Linked DNA regions of Tribolium castaneum. The protein of the gene in region 1 purifies or fractionates together with the protein of each later gene. This does not show direct contact. Links are inferred from orthologs where the notes say so. Each region holds a gene or a part of one and is shown in the gene's direction. Other genes may lie near its edges. The genes, in order: V-type proton ATPase catalytic subunit A and ATPsyngamma.

What was found.
Region 2: the proteins of V-type proton ATPase catalytic subunit A (region 1) and ATPsyngamma fractionate together in Homo sapiens (co-fractionation; 3 studies listed by BioGRID). This does not show direct contact. The link is inferred for Tribolium castaneum from reciprocal best matches to the Homo sapiens genes ATP6V1A and ATP5F1C.

Annotation. Positions count from the first base shown.
Region 1 is NC_087402.1:9,100,855-9,109,150, forward strand, and holds the end of V-type proton ATPase catalytic subunit A, read left to right. Parts: intron 1-12; coding exon 13-150; intron 151-2,479; coding exon 2,480-2,631; intron 2,632-2,682; coding exon 2,683-3,820; 3' UTR 3,821-4,220; downstream 4,221-8,296. Other genes in the region: Sas10 (something about silencing protein 10), read right to left, coding at 4,233-4,325, 4,376-4,512, 4,559-4,905, 4,956-5,206, 5,249-5,660, 5,708-5,751; CLK4-associating serine/arginine rich protein, read left to right, coding at 6,066-6,164, 6,214-6,311, 6,359-6,654, 6,701-6,974, 7,022-7,182, 7,232-7,433. UniProt on the Homo sapiens protein: Catalytic subunit of the V1 complex of vacuolar(H+)-ATPase (V-ATPase), a multisubunit enzyme composed of a peripheral complex (V1) that hydrolyzes ATP and a membrane integral complex (V0) that translocates protons.
Region 2 is NC_087396.1:15,930,738-15,939,966, forward strand, and holds ATPsyngamma (ATP synthase subunit gamma, mitochondrial), read left to right. Parts: upstream 1-1,820; 5' UTR 1,821-1,974; intron 1,975-2,145; 5' UTR 2,146-2,153; coding exon 2,154-2,445; intron 2,446-2,493; coding exon 2,494-2,813; intron 2,814-4,719; coding exon 4,720-4,983; 3' UTR 4,984-5,177; downstream 5,178-9,229. Other genes in the region: elongation factor Tu, read right to left, coding at 38-231, 280-508, 558-932, 980-1,573; endoplasmic reticulum metallopeptidase 1, read right to left, coding at 5,187-5,649, 5,701-5,906, 5,957-6,109, 6,159-6,343, 6,391-6,568, 8,005-8,222, 8,274-9,229.

The DNA of each region.
Region 1 (8,296 bases):
GTTTGGGCACAGTTGGGGTCACATTTGACAGGCGGTGATATTTACGGGATTGTCCATGAAAACACTCTCGTCAAACATAAAATGCTGCTACCGCCCAAAGCCAAGGGGACTGTCACATACGTCGCCGATCCCGGAAATTACACAGTCGATGTAAGTATTTTTCTGTATAAAAATTGGCGGCTTGAGGGTTCACAAATAGGTGAAGAGACACGAATATAAAAGCGAAATTTCGTTAAAACAGCAATAACCAAATTACGGCGAAAATTATGCGATTTTGGCCTAAAAACATGCTTATTTTGAGGGATTTGAAATCTAATGCAATTGATGAGCTTAAAAGAAAATTTACAAATGTTCTAAAGGGAACGTACAAATTCTATAATCTTACCTTATTTGACAAAATCGATTATTTAAAGACTTTTGATGTCAACAAAGGATGAAATATTAAAAATTATACACAATACCATAAAGTAAAATCTTGAAATTTGTTTAGTCTTGAAAAAATTGAGAGATCTATAGATTATTTGCGATTTTGATAAAAATAGTAGTTTAAGTCTGCTAAAGTATGCGACTACTGATTGCAAATGCACATAAACTTAAGATTCTGTTTAAAATAAACGCCTTGCAACATCTATTAGTGATAATGTTTAATATTTACTAATCAATCAATAGACATTCCGGAATAATTTAAAATATGCACGTATATTCTATTTATCTGTTAACTCTGACGTTATTTTTTGTCTTATGATTATGAATCATGTAACAAATATCTTATAATTTGATAATTCCATGTTTTCTCAGATTTCTAAAACAATAAATTTCAAGACTAACTTTTTGTTGCTCTGTGTCGTTATCAAAATAAACATTAGGAATCTGGTAATTTGCCAATTTAATTGCAACTAATTCTTGTAAACCGTCTCTAAAAGTTCTCTACAGCAACCATAATCCGTTAAAAATATTTGCATAATTGTTTGCTGTTTTAAATCGATAGTTTATTTTCACAATGCATTTTCTGTTAATTAATTTTCCATATTTTAGTCATCAAAACTCTTCAAATAATAGACTATTTAAATATTGTTGAATTCATCATTAAATCACTACTCAACAAAAAAATTTTTTTATCCTTTTTCTGGTTCTAGATAACCAAATTAGCTTTTATTTTCAAGATACGCACCAGCCCATCGACAGAGAAATCTATTTAAAGTTAAAACAGTGAAGACAAATTCCTGTAATTTTTTGATAAAAATAAAAAATTAAAATTAAATTATTATACGGGGTGTAACGAAAAGAGATCTTTTTTTTTCATAAACAAAAGAGATTTTCGAGGTCAAAATAAAACGATTTAAATCCTGGATTTAACCCAACTTACCTCTGCTGTACTAAGTTGCACCGTGTAAAAGTTAGAAAGCGCCAAAGTTCAAAAATTATTTTCGAATTTTACTTAGTAATTTTAAAATGGAATTATAGATTTTAATGAAATTTGAGACAAGTAACTTGTCATCAAAATCACATGTTTTGGTGCTATTTTTTTAGTTTTTTAAATAAATTAAGTAGAAATGTCAACAATTCAGACGTTGTTTTTTCCAATTTTTCCATAACGGCAAAGTAGATTTTAATTAATTGTAATGAGTAGAAATAGAACGATTTTTTAAAATTCACATTTTTATGAGGAAATTGTTTAAATAAATAACTAATTACATTATAGTTATTTAAGCCAAAATTAAAAAAAAATTGAAAAAACAATAATAATAGAGGCGAACAGACATCTGAAACTTTGGACACGTCGACTTAAATATTTTTTTACTCTAAACCGATACAAAAATTGTTCAAAGGAAATGAGTCTTTCTAATAAGTAAAATGTGTTAAATTGTTCTTAGGTAAGTACTTTATAATAATATAATAATAATAAAAGAGCCAGTATCAAAATATGTGGAATTGACAAAAATAAATAAATCTAATCTAAAAACAAAACAACAAAAAAAACTTTTAAACGTTATCACGATAATTGTGATTGTAGTTAAAATTTAATTTGCCATGAACTCGAGGTTTGTCAATGCAAAACTAATGGCTACCTAATTCGAATTATTTTAATTCTGGATTATATCTTAATTTCTCGTTCTGTATACGACCAGAAATGTTTGAAACTTAATTGAAAAGGTCAAATAGAGAATCAAGCTAAGAATAAATTTCACACAAACCAGCCATGGTGAGATTAATTACCCAAGCAAGTTCTGTATCTTGACAATAAGAGCTAATCAAAACTTTTTTGATTATTTTCGTGTTTAGCTAGAGAAAATATTTCGGAAATAGCTATTTTTGAGTTGTGATATTATTTGTGGAACTTTGAACGTTCAAATGTTTTTTAATTTTAATTATAATTAAAATTTAATTTAATTTAATATTTAATTTTAATTATAAAAAGCCACTACTTTTAATTATTTTTCATTTGGGGAAAAAATTAAAAATTATCATTACGCTACAGGAAGTCGTCTTGGAGACGGAATTCGACGGCGAGAGGACCAAATACACCATGTTGCAAGTGTGGCCTGTGCGTCAGCCCCGTCCTGTCAGCGAGAAATTGCCAGCCAATCACCCCCTATTAACCGGTCAACGCGTACTCGACTCACTTTTCCCGTAAGCCCCCTTTCAAAAACTAGTCCCTTTTCTCTACCAATTTTTATTTAGGTGCGTCCAAGGGGGTACCACCGCCATTCCCGGAGCTTTCGGTTGCGGTAAGACCGTAATCTCGCAATCTCTCTCCAAATATTCCAACTCTGACGTTATCATTTACGTCGGTTGCGGGGAGCGTGGTAACGAAATGTCTGAAGTATTGCGGGACTTCCCCGAACTGACAGTCGAAATCGAAGGCCAAACAGAGTCTATCATGAAACGTACCGCTCTTGTCGCCAACACCTCTAACATGCCTGTAGCCGCCCGTGAGGCTTCAATTTACACCGGTATTACACTGTCTGAGTATTTCCGTGATATGGGTTACAACGTGTCGATGATGGCCGATTCCACCTCGCGTTGGGCCGAAGCTTTGAGAGAAATTTCCGGTCGTTTGGCTGAAATGCCCGCCGATTCTGGATACCCCGCGTATTTGGGGGCCCGTTTGGCTTCGTTTTACGAGCGTGCAGGGCGTGTTAAATGCTTGGGTAACCCTGATCGTGAAGGTTCCGTTTCTATTGTCGGGGCCGTATCGCCCCCTGGTGGTGATTTCTCTGATCCCGTCACCTCAGCTACCTTGGGTATCGTACAAGTGTTCTGGGGGTTGGATAAAAAACTAGCCCAACGTAAACATTTCCCTTCGATCAATTGGCTGATTTCCTACTCTAAATACACGCGCGCTTTGGACGATTTCTACGATAAAAACTTCCAAGAGTTTGTCGCGTTGCGTACTAAGGTCAAGGAGATCTTGCAAGAAGAAGAAGACTTGTCCGAAATCGTGCAACTGGTCGGTAAAGCCTCCCTAGCCGAGACCGATAAAATCACTCTTGAGATTGCCAAGTTGCTTAAGGAAGATTTCTTGCAACAGAATTCGTACTCGTCGTACGATAGGTTCTGTCCGTTCTACAAGACGGTGGGTATGTTGAAAAATATGATCGGTTTGTACGATATGTCGCGACATGCTGTTGAAAGCACCGCGCAGTCTGAAAATAAAATCACGTGGACCGTGATCAGGGATTCCATGAGCAATATTTTGTACCAGTTGAGCAGTATGAAGTTCAAGGACCCAGTTAAAGACGGCGAGGCGAAAATCAAAGCCGATTTTGACCAGTTGTACGAGGATATTCAACAAGCCTTCAGGAACTTGGAGGATTAAATTAGTTTTATTGTAGGCCGTATATTTAACCTCACTATAAAATTGCCGTCTTTCGATATTAATGTACAATATGTTTATAAATGAATTAGTTCATAGGTCTAAGTCCTATAGATTAGAGGTGAGGGTAAATTGCTAAATTTCGTCCCTTCATTCCAGTTACTTTTAAGGAATTTTTATTTTCGTGTTTCCGTGCAATTATCAGCTTTCCAGTATTATCGGGACCTTTTTTTCTTTACATTTTATTTTTTCGTTATTTACGCATATTTCGATGTTGTATATTTTATCATGTTATTCAAACGGCTACTTGTACAGTTATCTGTGTTAATATTAAGTGAACTAGCTAGAAAATAGCACAATAAATTGTTTTATTGTAAACAGAAATAAAAGCATTGTTGTTTCATATGCGTTTTTATTAAGTCTTAATTTTAATGCTCTTGGAAACACTTGCTTTAATCCCGGAAAGCTCCCCACCATATCTCGTCATTTCGGTTCGCGGCTCACGAACCTAAAAATAGCGCAATTAAATTTAAGAAAAAATACTAAAAGTTGACATACAGCTCCTCTCCTTCGTATTTTTGCTTTTCTAAACTTGTTCCTATGCTTCACTCTTGGATTTCTTTGTTCCTTCTTTCTGTGCGGCGTGAGACCCTTATTTTTGGCAATCTGGTAAGTTATAGCCCTCTTGCCAGGATCTACAACAAAACATGACTAAAAAATCGCAACAAACAAAAATCAAACCATTCTCGGGAACATTTGCCTCTTCGTCTTGCATTTGCTGTTCATTATCTGTTGCTTCTTTTTCGTCCACTTCTGGTTTAAATTGGACTTTTTTCCCTGCTGGTTTCTTGTCTTTCTTTTCCGTTTTGTTAACCAATGTGCTCAACACCTTTAATGTTTTTTTCGGAACTTCTTTTTCTTCTTCATTCAAGAGTAACTCAATTTGGGGCTTAATCACCTCTTCGAAAACTGGCGTCATTTGTGATAACAGTTGTCTGTATTGGTACAAACGTTTTATGATTGGGTGGTTTTGCACGTTAACTCTTGAGGCTTTCAACAGTAAATACATGTTGATGTTAACGCAATAACTACAATTTTGTGAATTAGGAAAAATAAAATAGAAAATTGAGAAAAATACTTTAAAATTAATTCGTGGTGAGTCACCACAAACTCCATTGCTGAACAGTTGGGGATTTGCCCCTTTTTAAATTTAACCAAAACTGGTTTGAGGAAGTCTCGAGCGACAACCATTTTTTCTTCAAAATCTTCAACCAGTCCGAAGAATTCTGGCGATTCCTTTTGCAGTATTTGTAATTTTTGCCTTTTACTTAATTTGGAAATGTCGCTTTTGATCAATTCTTCCGACACTTGTTTATCGTCCTCAATGACCTATCCACGATTTAGTAAAAAATCAAAAAATTTAAACCCTACCTTTTTGGTGGGCACATCCAAGCAAAAATCATCATCGTCTAGCTGTTCAGCCAACTGTTTTTGTAAATTCCTTGCTTCCTCTTCCTCCAATTCGGCCAAGTGGGCATCCTTACCTTGGAAGCCCCCATAGTCAGGGTCTACGTAGTCTGTTGAATAAAACTTCCTCTTGTCTTTGCCCCAGGCCCTAATATCAGGCAAATCGTCTTGGTCCTCTTGCTCCTCAACGTCACTCAGTGCAATATCACTTTGGTCATCGTCATCGTCAGTGCCAGAACCCACCCCAAACACTTCCCCCTCACTGTCTGAGTCTTTAGATTGTTTGTTTCGCACTTTCTTCAGAAGGATTTTCTCGTTTTCGGTATAATCCTCGTCAGAATCTGTAGGGTTGTAGTCACTTTCATTTTCGTTAAATCTAGAAAAAGGAGTTATAAGTGTTACAAAAAAATAATGTAACACCACCTTATATGAGACATGCTTTCACAAGACTTCAAACTTGTCCACATGCAAAAAGTGAGGTTGTGTAACGTAATGACGGGGCGGGAGAATCAAAAACCCTAAACAAAAATAATTATCGCAACAAAAAATCAATTTTGTCTGTTTTTGTTGTGAAAATATTAAAGTAGATTCATTTATATGGCGATGAGCTATTAAAAAATTGTTAATTTTTTAGGAGCATAAAATTAAAGTGAGCGCGTCCTTGGGTTAGCGCAACGCGCGTTGACAGATGTGTGAAATGTGATGGCATTTTTATTTCTTGTAACCGCCTCTTAATTATTGTTATTTTCGGTTGATTACACAAGTTTTAAACATAAAAACCATGTGGCATGAGGCAAGACGACAAGAACGCAAAATTCGTGGCATGTTGGTGGACTATCGGCGAAGGGCAGAACGACGCCGTGATTTCTACGAAAAAATCGTATTGTTCCCTCATTTCCTATCCAATTTAATCTACTGTTGTTTTATAGAAAGCCGACCCAACTCAGTTTTTACAAATCCACGGAAGACAATGCAAGATTCACTTGGACCCCTCCATCGCAGCTGCGGCAGACAGTGCTTCGGCAATGTGAGCCCCTATATTACACTAAATGGGCGACAATCAATTTGTTACAGGATGCCGTGGCAAGGACAAGCTGATAATTTAATTGACCGTTTTGATGTAAGAGCACATTTAGATTTTATCCCCCCTGTTAAGAAGGAAGAAGAGGAGGAATTGACGTTTGAAGAACGGCAAATTAATTACGAACGGTACCGGATTATTGCCCAAAACTCGTTCCTTAGCATCAATGAGGAGAAGTTTTTGAAACAATTGCATCTGGAGGAGCAGTTTGGCTACACTGAGTCCAAGTCAAAGAAGGAGCAAAGGACTGGAGGTGCTAGTATTGGGTTTAACTACGAGGACAACACTGGTGGGTTTTAAACGCTGTTGGGGTAAAATCGAGTCGGAATTTTTAGCACAAACTTTGGCCCCTGACTACCACAATGATGAAGAATCAGACGGCAATTCTGATTCTGATTTGGACGTTGATTTGTCCATTAATGTTTCAAAAATGGATTCGGTTCAAGCACACGAAATGAATCGCCACGGCAGAAACTTTGGGATGAGCTCAAATGATTTTTATTCGTTTCTTACAAATGATCTTGAAGAGGCGGAAAGCTTCAGACTTGCCAAAGAAGAAGAGCATGAAAAAGCCTTGTTTTCAGGACGAAAATCGCGAAGGGAGCGCCGGTATTTATCCACAATTAGCTGTATTTTTTATCTAATTTTTTTGATAGAGCACATAGGGAAAAACGTCTGGCTAATAGGGTGATAAGTCCTCCAAGTTACGCCGCACGGACATCACCTACTTACCCTTCGTTTCGGAAAAGTAAATCGCCTTCGAAATCACCGACGCCGGAAAATAGTGGCAAAATTACATACATCACATCGTTTGGTGGTATTTAAATTGTTACTGTTTTTGGCGCTTTTAATCTCGTTTTATTTAGATGAGGAAGAAAGCCCTTCGACTAGTAAACCAAACAATGATAAGTCAAAGCAAGCAAAAAAGAGACGAAGAAATTCTAGTTCAGAAAGAACAGTTTATAGGAGAAGTTACAGTAGAGAAAAGAATTATAAAGGAAGGCGGTCAAGGAGTCGAGATACGAGGAGTCGCTCAAGGGCAAGACGGCGAAGTATCTCAAGAGATAGGTGAGACATTTTTTTAAAAATGAAATGATTTTAATATTTTAAATGTTTTATTAATACAAAATTAATATACAACGTAAAATGAATCGTAGAATTTGCTGGAACAAACTGTTTTGCTCTACACCTTTTCCGTTTTGAGTTATGATTTTCTTAGTGTAAAATAGAGAAATAGATAATTTCAAGTTCAATCTGCTTTTTGAATTTGTGCTCTTATAGTCTTATGGTTTCCAAAAACGCGAGAAAACGTAGCAATTTTCGCTTTTCAAGCGCCGATTACGGCGAAACAATTAAAAGTTAGCGTTGTTGTTTTTCTTATTTTACCTATTTTTACATTTTTTGTTTGCTATTTTCTTGAAAACTATTAGTCAGAGGACGATGTTTTTTTTTGAAAAAGATTGATATCTAATGGAGCTTTCCAACGATAATAAACTTAATGAGGTTATCTCTATTAGTTCCGGAGTTATTGCCCGACAAATGTACAGGGTACCGAAATTGACAAAAATCTCGAAAAAAATTGCAAAAAACCAGACAAAATCGAAGCAAATGACTTTTTTATATTCTTAATGTTTCGAGAGGATTGTAATGGCATAGAAAAGTCAATAAAACTTTGCTAGAGCGAGTTTAAAAAAAATTCTGAACGTGAAGGACCACTAAAATTTTAGGCAAAAAATTTCAAAATTTTAAATTTTGTGGTACTATGAGCCGTAGAATTTACTAGAACAAACTATTTTGGTCTACGATTTGTGTTTTTTGAGCTATGAATTTTTAATGAATATCCCGGCGCATCCACCATTTTTCAATTTAAGAAATTTTTAAAAATATATTTTCGAATAAGCTAGTGTTGTAAAAAGAGTTGGTACAAAACG
Region 2 (9,229 bases), on another chromosome or scaffold:
CACAAAAACCTAATCGTTTATTATTGTAAAATTAAATTCATCCCAATTCAAGTTTGCCTAAATTTTTCGTAATTACAACTTCAGGGAGAGTGGCAGTGATAATTCCAGTCGCTACTGTTACTTTATTTTCCCTAATTGTAAAGGTTTGCCCAGGCAGCATTACCATTTTTGATAAAAGTGTAAGTTCAACTTGTCCATGTTCACCGGGCATTATCATTTCAACACCTTTAGCTACAAATATGTGATGAGGTAACAACCTATAGAAAATATCAAACAAACCTAGATCAACTCTACACGATATACTCCAGGTTTTGCTAAACAACTGTTGGATGTATTTTCCCGTGACAGGTTTCGATCTACCGCCTTCATTTTTCGCTAGGAAGTAAATGCTTCCAGCAAACCTATTCGATAACGTAACACTATTTGCTTGGCACAATAGCATCCCTCTTTGGATATCTTTCAGTTTCACGTTTCGTAGCAAAAGACCGACGTTTTCGCCAGCTTTTGCCTGAAATTTCATCGTGAGATCAAAGTGATGTAATGATTTATTTTCTCACTTCAGGGACACTTTTTTTGAAAACTTGTATATCTCCGATTGTTGTCTTTAATTTTGTGTCAAAACCCACGAGTTCAGAACTTGCGTTTTTCTTGACAATTCCTCTATGAATAGTTCCTACAACGACTGTCCCTCTCCCGGGGACAAGGAAAGTGTTGTCAATGGGGACCATAAAAGGTGACTTAAAATCACGTTCAGGCACTGGAATATACTCATCCAGAGTGTCCAACAATTTCCTAATTGCTTTCTCCCCAAATTCTGACTGTTCCCCTTCTAAAGCTTTCAACGCAGACCCACAAATCACTGGTGCATTTTCACTGTCAAACCCGAAATCTTCCAACAACTCCCTAATTTCGAGCTCAACCAACTCTAAAACCTACAATCCCAGCTTACAACATAAACCAATCACAAATTATCTTTTGCCTCATTATCCACCAAGTCGGCTTTATTCACAAAAACCACAATGTTCTTCACCCCGACTTGCTTCGCAAGCAGCAGGTGTTCCCTGGTTTGGGGCATTTGGCCGTCGGTAGCCGCCACGACTAAAATAGCCCCATCCATTTGGGAGGCCCCCGAGATCATATTTTTGATGAAATCGGCATGCCCGGGACAGTCAGTGTGAGCGTAATGGCGCTTTTTCGTGCTGTAGCCCACATGGGCCGCGTTTATCGTAATTCCGCGCGCCTTTTCTTCGGGGGCTTTGTCAATCTCGTCGTACGAGACGTAGGAGGCAAGACCATCTTTTTGCAATATTTTAGTGATGGCAGCGGTTAGGGTGGTTTTTCCGTGATCGACATGTCCAATTGTACCCACATTAATGTGTTTTTTGTCGGCGATATCCGAATATTTTCGAAAATTTAGCGCCGGACGTGACAGATTGAGGTTAGGTGACACTCGGTGACATAACCGGTACGAAAATATGAAACTGTTTTGCAAGGATGTGCCACTTGACGAGGAAAATAGTGCCTTTTGAGGCGAAAAGACTTGGACTAGCTTTAGAAGTTTCAATTTGGACATTTTTGTAATTTTTGAGAGGGTCAAATTGTCAACCCTCACATCTCAACATCTCATCCTCATTATATCTTATTTACTAAAAATCTCATAATATGAAATTTTCTCGTCTTTTCTTATGTAAAAATTTGAAACTAATATAAAATGATGATATTAACTTTGCCGTGTATATCTATCGTTTTGTTGGTGTAAGAACTTGAATATTTATTTTTGTAAGGCTAAAAATTTATAGGACTCCAATCACAAATAAATTGTAGCAGCTCCCTCTACTTTTACATGTCACTTTTTACGTCACCAATTTTTTATAAACTTTATTGTCAGGTGACATAAGAGCTATTATTGCAAATCTCCAAATAGTTCATTTTTTAGCCACTTCTTGCAGTTTCTGACCCAGGCGAAGTCGCAAGGTTAGTACCGAAGATCAAAATTTTCCATTTTTTTCGCTATTTTACGTAATTAACTCAATTTAATGTTTGTTTCCCCATCTAACATGTCATTGCTTTCGATTACATAATACCCATTATCGAATTTTATCAGATTTTTCTGCATATAAATTCCGGTTACATAATCTATTTCAGATCCAATCATGTTGGGTCGTTTCGGTAGTTTGGTGCCTTTAGTCACCCAAAATGTGCAACAACAAAGGGGTATGGCCACCCTTAAGTCCATTTCGATTCGCCTCAAGTCCGTCAAAAACATCCAAAAGATCACCCAATCAATGAAGATGGTGTCGGCCGCTAAATACTCCCGTGCCGAACGCGAGCTGAAACAAACGCGCCCCATCGGAAGTGGAGCCACCCAGTTTTACGAGAAGGCCGAAATTTCGGCCCCTGAGGACCTTCCCCAGAAGCTTTTAATCGCAATGACTTCAGACAGAGGTAAACGCCCCCAGTACGAAAGATCTGGACCGAAATTTAATGTTTTAGGTCTTTGTGGAGCTGTCCACACCAGTGTTGCTCGTCTTATTCGCAATGAGTTGAATAATGACCAACAAAATTTGAAAGTTGTGTGCGTCGGAGACAAGTCGCGACTTATCTTGCAACGCATGTATGGCAAAAACATTATCATGGCATGCAACGAAATCGGGCGTTTGCCCCCAACTTTCACCGATGCCTCAAAATTGGCCGATGCTATCCTCAACTCCCAGTATGCGTTTGGGTCGGGACAAATCGTCTTTAATCGGTTCAAGTCGGTCGTGTCCTACAGCACCCAGACCTTGCCCGTCTTCAGCTTGGCCGCAGTTAAGGTAATTTATTTTTTTATTAGTTTTTTAGAGCAACTTTTATTTTGTATTTAGCAGTTTAGCTTCTTTTTTGATGAAATATTACTTTAGTACTTTTTTGACAGCGACAAGCAATCAATAAAAAAAGCCTTTTGTCATTACATATTTAGTGAAATTTTCGAGATGCGATATTTTTTTATTAGTCTTTGTACTCTGTAGTGTTGTCCAGTTTTCAAACTAAAAGTTGTGTATTTACGTTAAAAACTTTATTTAATATGTATCTTTTGCAAAAAAAGAAGTTTAGCTTGATCCAGAAGGAAGATATGACGATGTATACGAAAAATTTCACCAATTTTAAGTTTTTCAAAAATTTTCCCAAAAACGTTTTTTTCATGATGAAGGCAAGAGTTCATTACAGGGCCAAAAGTGCTCCATTTTTTATTTAACACTCATTATTGAAGGGAAATAATATTCAAAAAACATCTTTTTTAGTTTTCAGGTTTTTTTCTGAATTAAATAATCTTTTTTTTAAGACTGTTTACATTTTATTTAATTTATCTGTTACCAAATTAATAAACTTTTTATTTTACCATTTGGAGCTGTACATGGCTGTACCTGTTTGGTACCACCCAGCAAAAATTTCCAAGTTTAGAAAAGATTAAATGCAATCAAAATGCAGGCGACACATTGGAATACTTACATTAAAATACTAAGATCCCCAACTTTTTATCATTTTATTATGTTCTATGGAAAAATTCTATTAATTTCCAGTTTGTAATACATGTACTTAAAACTGTTGTTAATAATTATTAAGGTAATAATTTACATTGGATAAGAATTATTAATCACTGACCTACTGCGACAAAATTCTTAAATTTTGATTAAAAGAATTAAACGTCCTCAAAGTTTACTTCGATTTCGCTATTTTTGATTCGATTAACATTAATTATAATTACATTAATAAGAACCAAAATTTAAGTCTTTCGTTTGCCACTGAGTTACAAAAAATGTCTTCTGAATCTGATTTATAAATAACTATAATTCCTTATTATCGGTTTCAGTAGAAACTTAACAAGTTTTCTTAATATGGCTTTTCTCATACTTATCCATTTATCAAAAACTAAAGAAAACAAATCTTACGTTGCTTTAACAGATAATTTTTCCCTTTTTTTACAAAAACCGCGAAACAATCTTTCAGATGACCTTTTCTTATTTATATAAATTTATTGTTTTACAAAGTTGTAAAGATGCAAAATATCATATGTATTGCTCACAAGGTCCTAAATAAAACTGAGAAAAAGGAAATCATACTCTGCAATCAATAAATGATGGCATATTTATTTTTTAGACATGCAGATTGAATAATGTATCCCCCATGTCATTTCATGTCGCATTATCTGTGATGCTATTGCGAGCATAACAGTTTTTTGATATCAGTAGTAAACAACTTGATTTGCTAATTTAAAGCGGTTTTAAATTTTGCACTCATATGCATAAAAATCACAACTATTTGGTAATTTTTCGGGTGGACACAAAGGTGGGCTAGCGATTTTTTAGGTGGACACGACGACCCATAATTCTTCCACTGTCCTCTTAATAATTATTCATGGGCTTCATAAAATTAATGGCTAATGTAATTTATGGTTCTAATGTCCGATCTAATTAACAACTATTAACGTTATTTAAAAAAATAATCTGGTAAAATTCGATGTTTTTATTGAATTGGAATTACAAGTAGCAACTAGAGAAAAGTAATGATAAAAGATCATAATCCAGATATGTAATTGATAATTAACTTTCTCCATTGTTTTCTAGAATAAACACATATTTTTTAGAAAAATGCCATTCCTTGTTTTTCTCCTGTGGTTTTTAAGTAATTAATTTGATTGGGTTTGAAAAATGCGTTGAATTCAAAATCGGTTTTTCGCAGACCGCTGCCAAGCTCCCGGTCTACGACTCCCTCGACGATGAAGTGATCCAGTCCTACTTGGAATTCTCTCTGGCTTCTCTTCTGTATTACGCCATGAAAGAGGGCGCCTGCAGCGAGCAGTCATCCCGGATGACGGCCATGGACAACGCCAGCAAAAACGCCGGCGAAATGATCGACAAACTCACCCTAACGTTCAACCGTACCAGACAGGCCGTAATCACCAGAGAACTGATCGAAATCATCTCTGGTGCTTCGGCCCTTTAGGTAAATACCCCGTAAAAACTTGATAGTATAATGCTGTATGTAAGGGTCGAACAGAATAAAAACCACGTAAGCCCAAAGTCACTGGATCCGGACATCGATCCTGTTTTATTTCGGTTTAACTTTTACATAAAATTCAGCGACATTTTATTGTCATACATTTAATTAACATCAAATAAAATTTGTTCACTGGTCCATCTCATTTTTTAAATCCACCATGATTCGTAGGAACCGAGCCATGCGGTCACGTCCGCCCAATCGGGAAACGAGTTGATGAGTTGGGCGTAGTGGGGGACTTTTCGGTTTTTCTCGTCGTGGACGAAAATGCCCGAAATGGCGATCTCGGTCGTGACTTCGGTAATGTTCGGCGGGACTCGCACGTCGAAGCTAAACCTGAGAGGAGCTGCCTCTTTGCCGTAAATGTGGATGATAAAATACAAATCGCGATCATTCCATTTCGCCGAATCTGAGGGCATTTTGTCGACAAGACTTATATTTAGTACTTTTACACCGAATTTGGGCGAAAAGTAGAGGCCCATGCGGTCCGGACCTGTCACTTGAATATCATAGCGTAAAACATCAGTCGAGATTTTTTCTTTTGATAATACTTCGAGTTTGGTCGGTTCGGGTAATACTGGCTGACCGGCAGGGATCCATGTACTAAACTCACTAAAGTTTGGTTTTTAAAAAATTATACAATTCTTACGAGTTGAGTCTTACATTATTTGAACCATTTTCGAATGAACTAGGGGTAAACCACACAATAAATATTGCTTGCAGTCTTCGGTCAAAGGTCGAGCCCTTGCAAGGTCTTTCACATATTTACTGACGATTTGTGGCGAATTTCTATCCATGTTGAGGAAAAAATAACCAGAGTCGCGTTTAGTTTCGACTCCTTTTTCGTCGTGAAAAACACGACGTGTGTGCTACAAGCAACCAGTCATGCCACACAAACATTTTTTCTGTAACTTATTACCAAAATCCAGTAACGTTCAGGAGCCGGCGAATCCCGATTACCACTATAGGGGAATCCCAGAGGTGTCAACATTATGATAAAACTGACAATAAAAATTCCTGTCAAAAAATACAGCACGTATTTGAAATTCCGTACAAGTGTTGCAAGGGCAACCTGAAATTTTTGCCTAAATTTAAAACAAAAGGTATTGCGAATTAATTACGAAAGGCGAGGTGATTAAAACTGTAAATAGAAGTCCTTGAAGTCCGATTAAAAGGTCAGCATTTTTATCAGGTCCAATTCTCCCGGTAACTGGGATAAAAAGTGATAAAGTCGTTAAAGTTGTGTACATCAGAAACATCGTTGGGATTACCAAACTGATGACATAAATGACTTGCCATCTTCGTACTGAAACATTCTGATTGTTGTCTGTTTACATTATTTTGTTGCGTTACTTGTGTGTTGAATTCGGAACATGTAAATTATTATGAATCCTAGAGTATTGAACAATACGGGCACTAAGAGTGCATACATTGCTCTGATTTGTAAAATGGTCCCAAGAATCATTATCACAGTCCAGATAACACGCACGGAGTGCACTTGTATTTGTGCTTTCACGTTGTGAGTCAAATTCTAAAAGGTGAATTCATCATTAGTTTTAATATTGTTTCGTACAAAAGAAAAGAAAATAAATTTAGGTACAATTTACAGAGGACTAAATACTAGGAGGCGAGGCATGGTACAATATAACTCGATATTCTGCCCAAAAATTAGTGCCGGAGTAAAAATAAGATCGCTTCAATCCGTCTCCCAAGTTGTTTTAAATTAATTTAAATTAAAGACCATTTTTTCTTTTAGAACAAATTTAAACAGTAAAAAAATCTCATAAAAAAGTGCATGTTCGACATGTATCAAAGAAAACCAAAAATGGTTACTACTACAGAGTATTTCCAACTCTGACACCAATACAAACTTGAAAACGCCACCACATCCTTCAAAAAGGTCACAAATTCGTTTTTATAGAATATTTGTTATTTTTCTTTAGCAACAATAACGAGCTCCAAATGAATTTTTATAAGTTCTAAAAATTCGGGGAAGCATATTTCAATCGTCTTCAATGTAATTTCCGTCGGGAAAACAAGTAGGCCAAGCCAAACAAGCGCTTTCCCCAATCAAAATTTTAAAAAACGCTGCAAATACGGTTTAATTTAATACAAGAAAGTTGTAGAGTATTAAATTTCCTACAAAAAAGTACCACAAGACCTCATCTTTAACGGTTTAGACCCAAGACATTCAAAAATGCTCAAGCGATATAGTTCTGTAACATAAGTAGTCTATAACTTTTTGTATCTTCAACCATACGTATTTGCACCCTTTTAAAAATAGAGGACGGTGTGCAAATTGGTAGTTTTTTTTTAATATACAGGGAACCTCCCTTAATGGACACCTCCGAATAACGGACATCTCTTTACAACGGACAGTTTTGTTGGAACGTAACAAAACCTATATTAAAATTTCCCATCTCCCATTAGTAGACACCTCTCCACAACGGACAATTAAAAATTCCCCATCGGTGTCCTTTATTGAGAGGTTTTACTGTAATAATTTTCTGTAAAAGGTTTGCTTTTATCTGATTTAACTCTTGCTAGTGAGAAAAAATTCTATATACTCGTAATTTTTTGTTTGCCTTTTGTCACCATTATATAAATTCATTTATTTTTTATTTCTTTGCTCTCAAAACTGACAGACTAATAGGAACACCTGCGCTATGAGGCTAGAACTACCTAGAAGGGGAACCGTTTTATTTGTACGTCGTGTCGTATCCTAGTTTTTAGTTTCCGTACTTGAGTTTTATAAAGAATAATTGAAAAACTGTATTTTTTATTTTTTAAACTAGAAAATTATTATCGGCTTCTACTTGACGATGTAACTGAGGCATTTCTTTGTGTAATGACTAATGACTGTAGTTTTTCTATGGTTATAAGGTGAAGGATTAAAACACTTAAGCAAACGTGAAAAAAATCCGGGTTTCAAAACGGATAAAAGAGGTAATTTTGCCAATTTGTTACCTTTTGGCTGATGAACGGCAACAAAACAGTCGAAAGTGCAACGGTTGGCGCTGCATAAAGTCCGAAAATCAGCCACGGATTGGCGTACCAACTCATGGAATACCCGATTTTGTCAACAAGGAGTGCCAACAAAACGGCAAAAATCGCTGCTAAAACCCACCCACCGATAATAGCCCCGAAAGTCATCGCTAAATATTTAAGAGTCTGTCGATTATACCCTGAAATAATCAAATGATCCCAGATTTCGCCCCAATTTCAAGTCCACTCACCCAACTTGAAATTGTGAATACTTAAAACAAATATCCCCAGTGAGAAAATCCCCACAATTGAGTTAACGACAATTGCGACGGTTTGCGTGTACGAAACCATCGTAAATCCCAGAAAATCAAAATAGACCGATTTTCCGGGATTATCCTTGGGATTCGCCACTTCAGGTGCATTCCCCAAACTGCGGACCAAATGCAAAGTGTTATCGCCGACGTGCTGGAACGACCCGAGCGGAATGTGCTCGAAGTCGTCGTATTTGGTATGATAGCGGTAGCCGTATTTGAAAAACGCCATATCCAGGCCCACTAATCCTCCATAATCCCGGAAAATCCGGAAATCGGTGTCGGACGGCACCAGATTACTTTGGAAAATCTCCTCGCCGGCGGCTTGCCCGTACGGGTGGGGCACCTTCTTGTAGTGGTTGACCAACCAGGGGGCGTGGGGCCCCGTCTGGAATAAAATTATTTTCCCGCCGGCCCCCGCAGCCTCGAGGTTTATCACGACTTTGCAGTCTCTGGCCCACTTGTGCTGGGTTATGAACCCGTGGGCGGCCTGCAGCCCCGTCTCCTCCGCCCCGTTGAACAGAAAAACCAAATTGTTTAACGGCCGTTGGGGCTCTTGTGTTATTTTGCGCAAAACTTCCAACATCACGGCACAGTTTATCCCATCGTCGCTCCCTCCGGGGCTTGTCGGGACCGAATCAAAGTGTGCGTTGATCAAAACACTCGCGTTTGTTTTTCCGGAAACTTTCACGACAATGTTTTGCAAGTTTGAGTAAGGGACGAATTTCCCGTGGGGCTTCATTTCGATATAATGAGACCCTGTGACTACTTGGACATCTAACTCAATTCGGTGGTTCTTGTGAGCTTTTTGCATAATAATGTTGATCTCGCGCTGGAAAAAATTTGCAGCCAGGACTTCGCTTTCGTAGCCCCCGGCCACACGGGGGCCCAAGTCA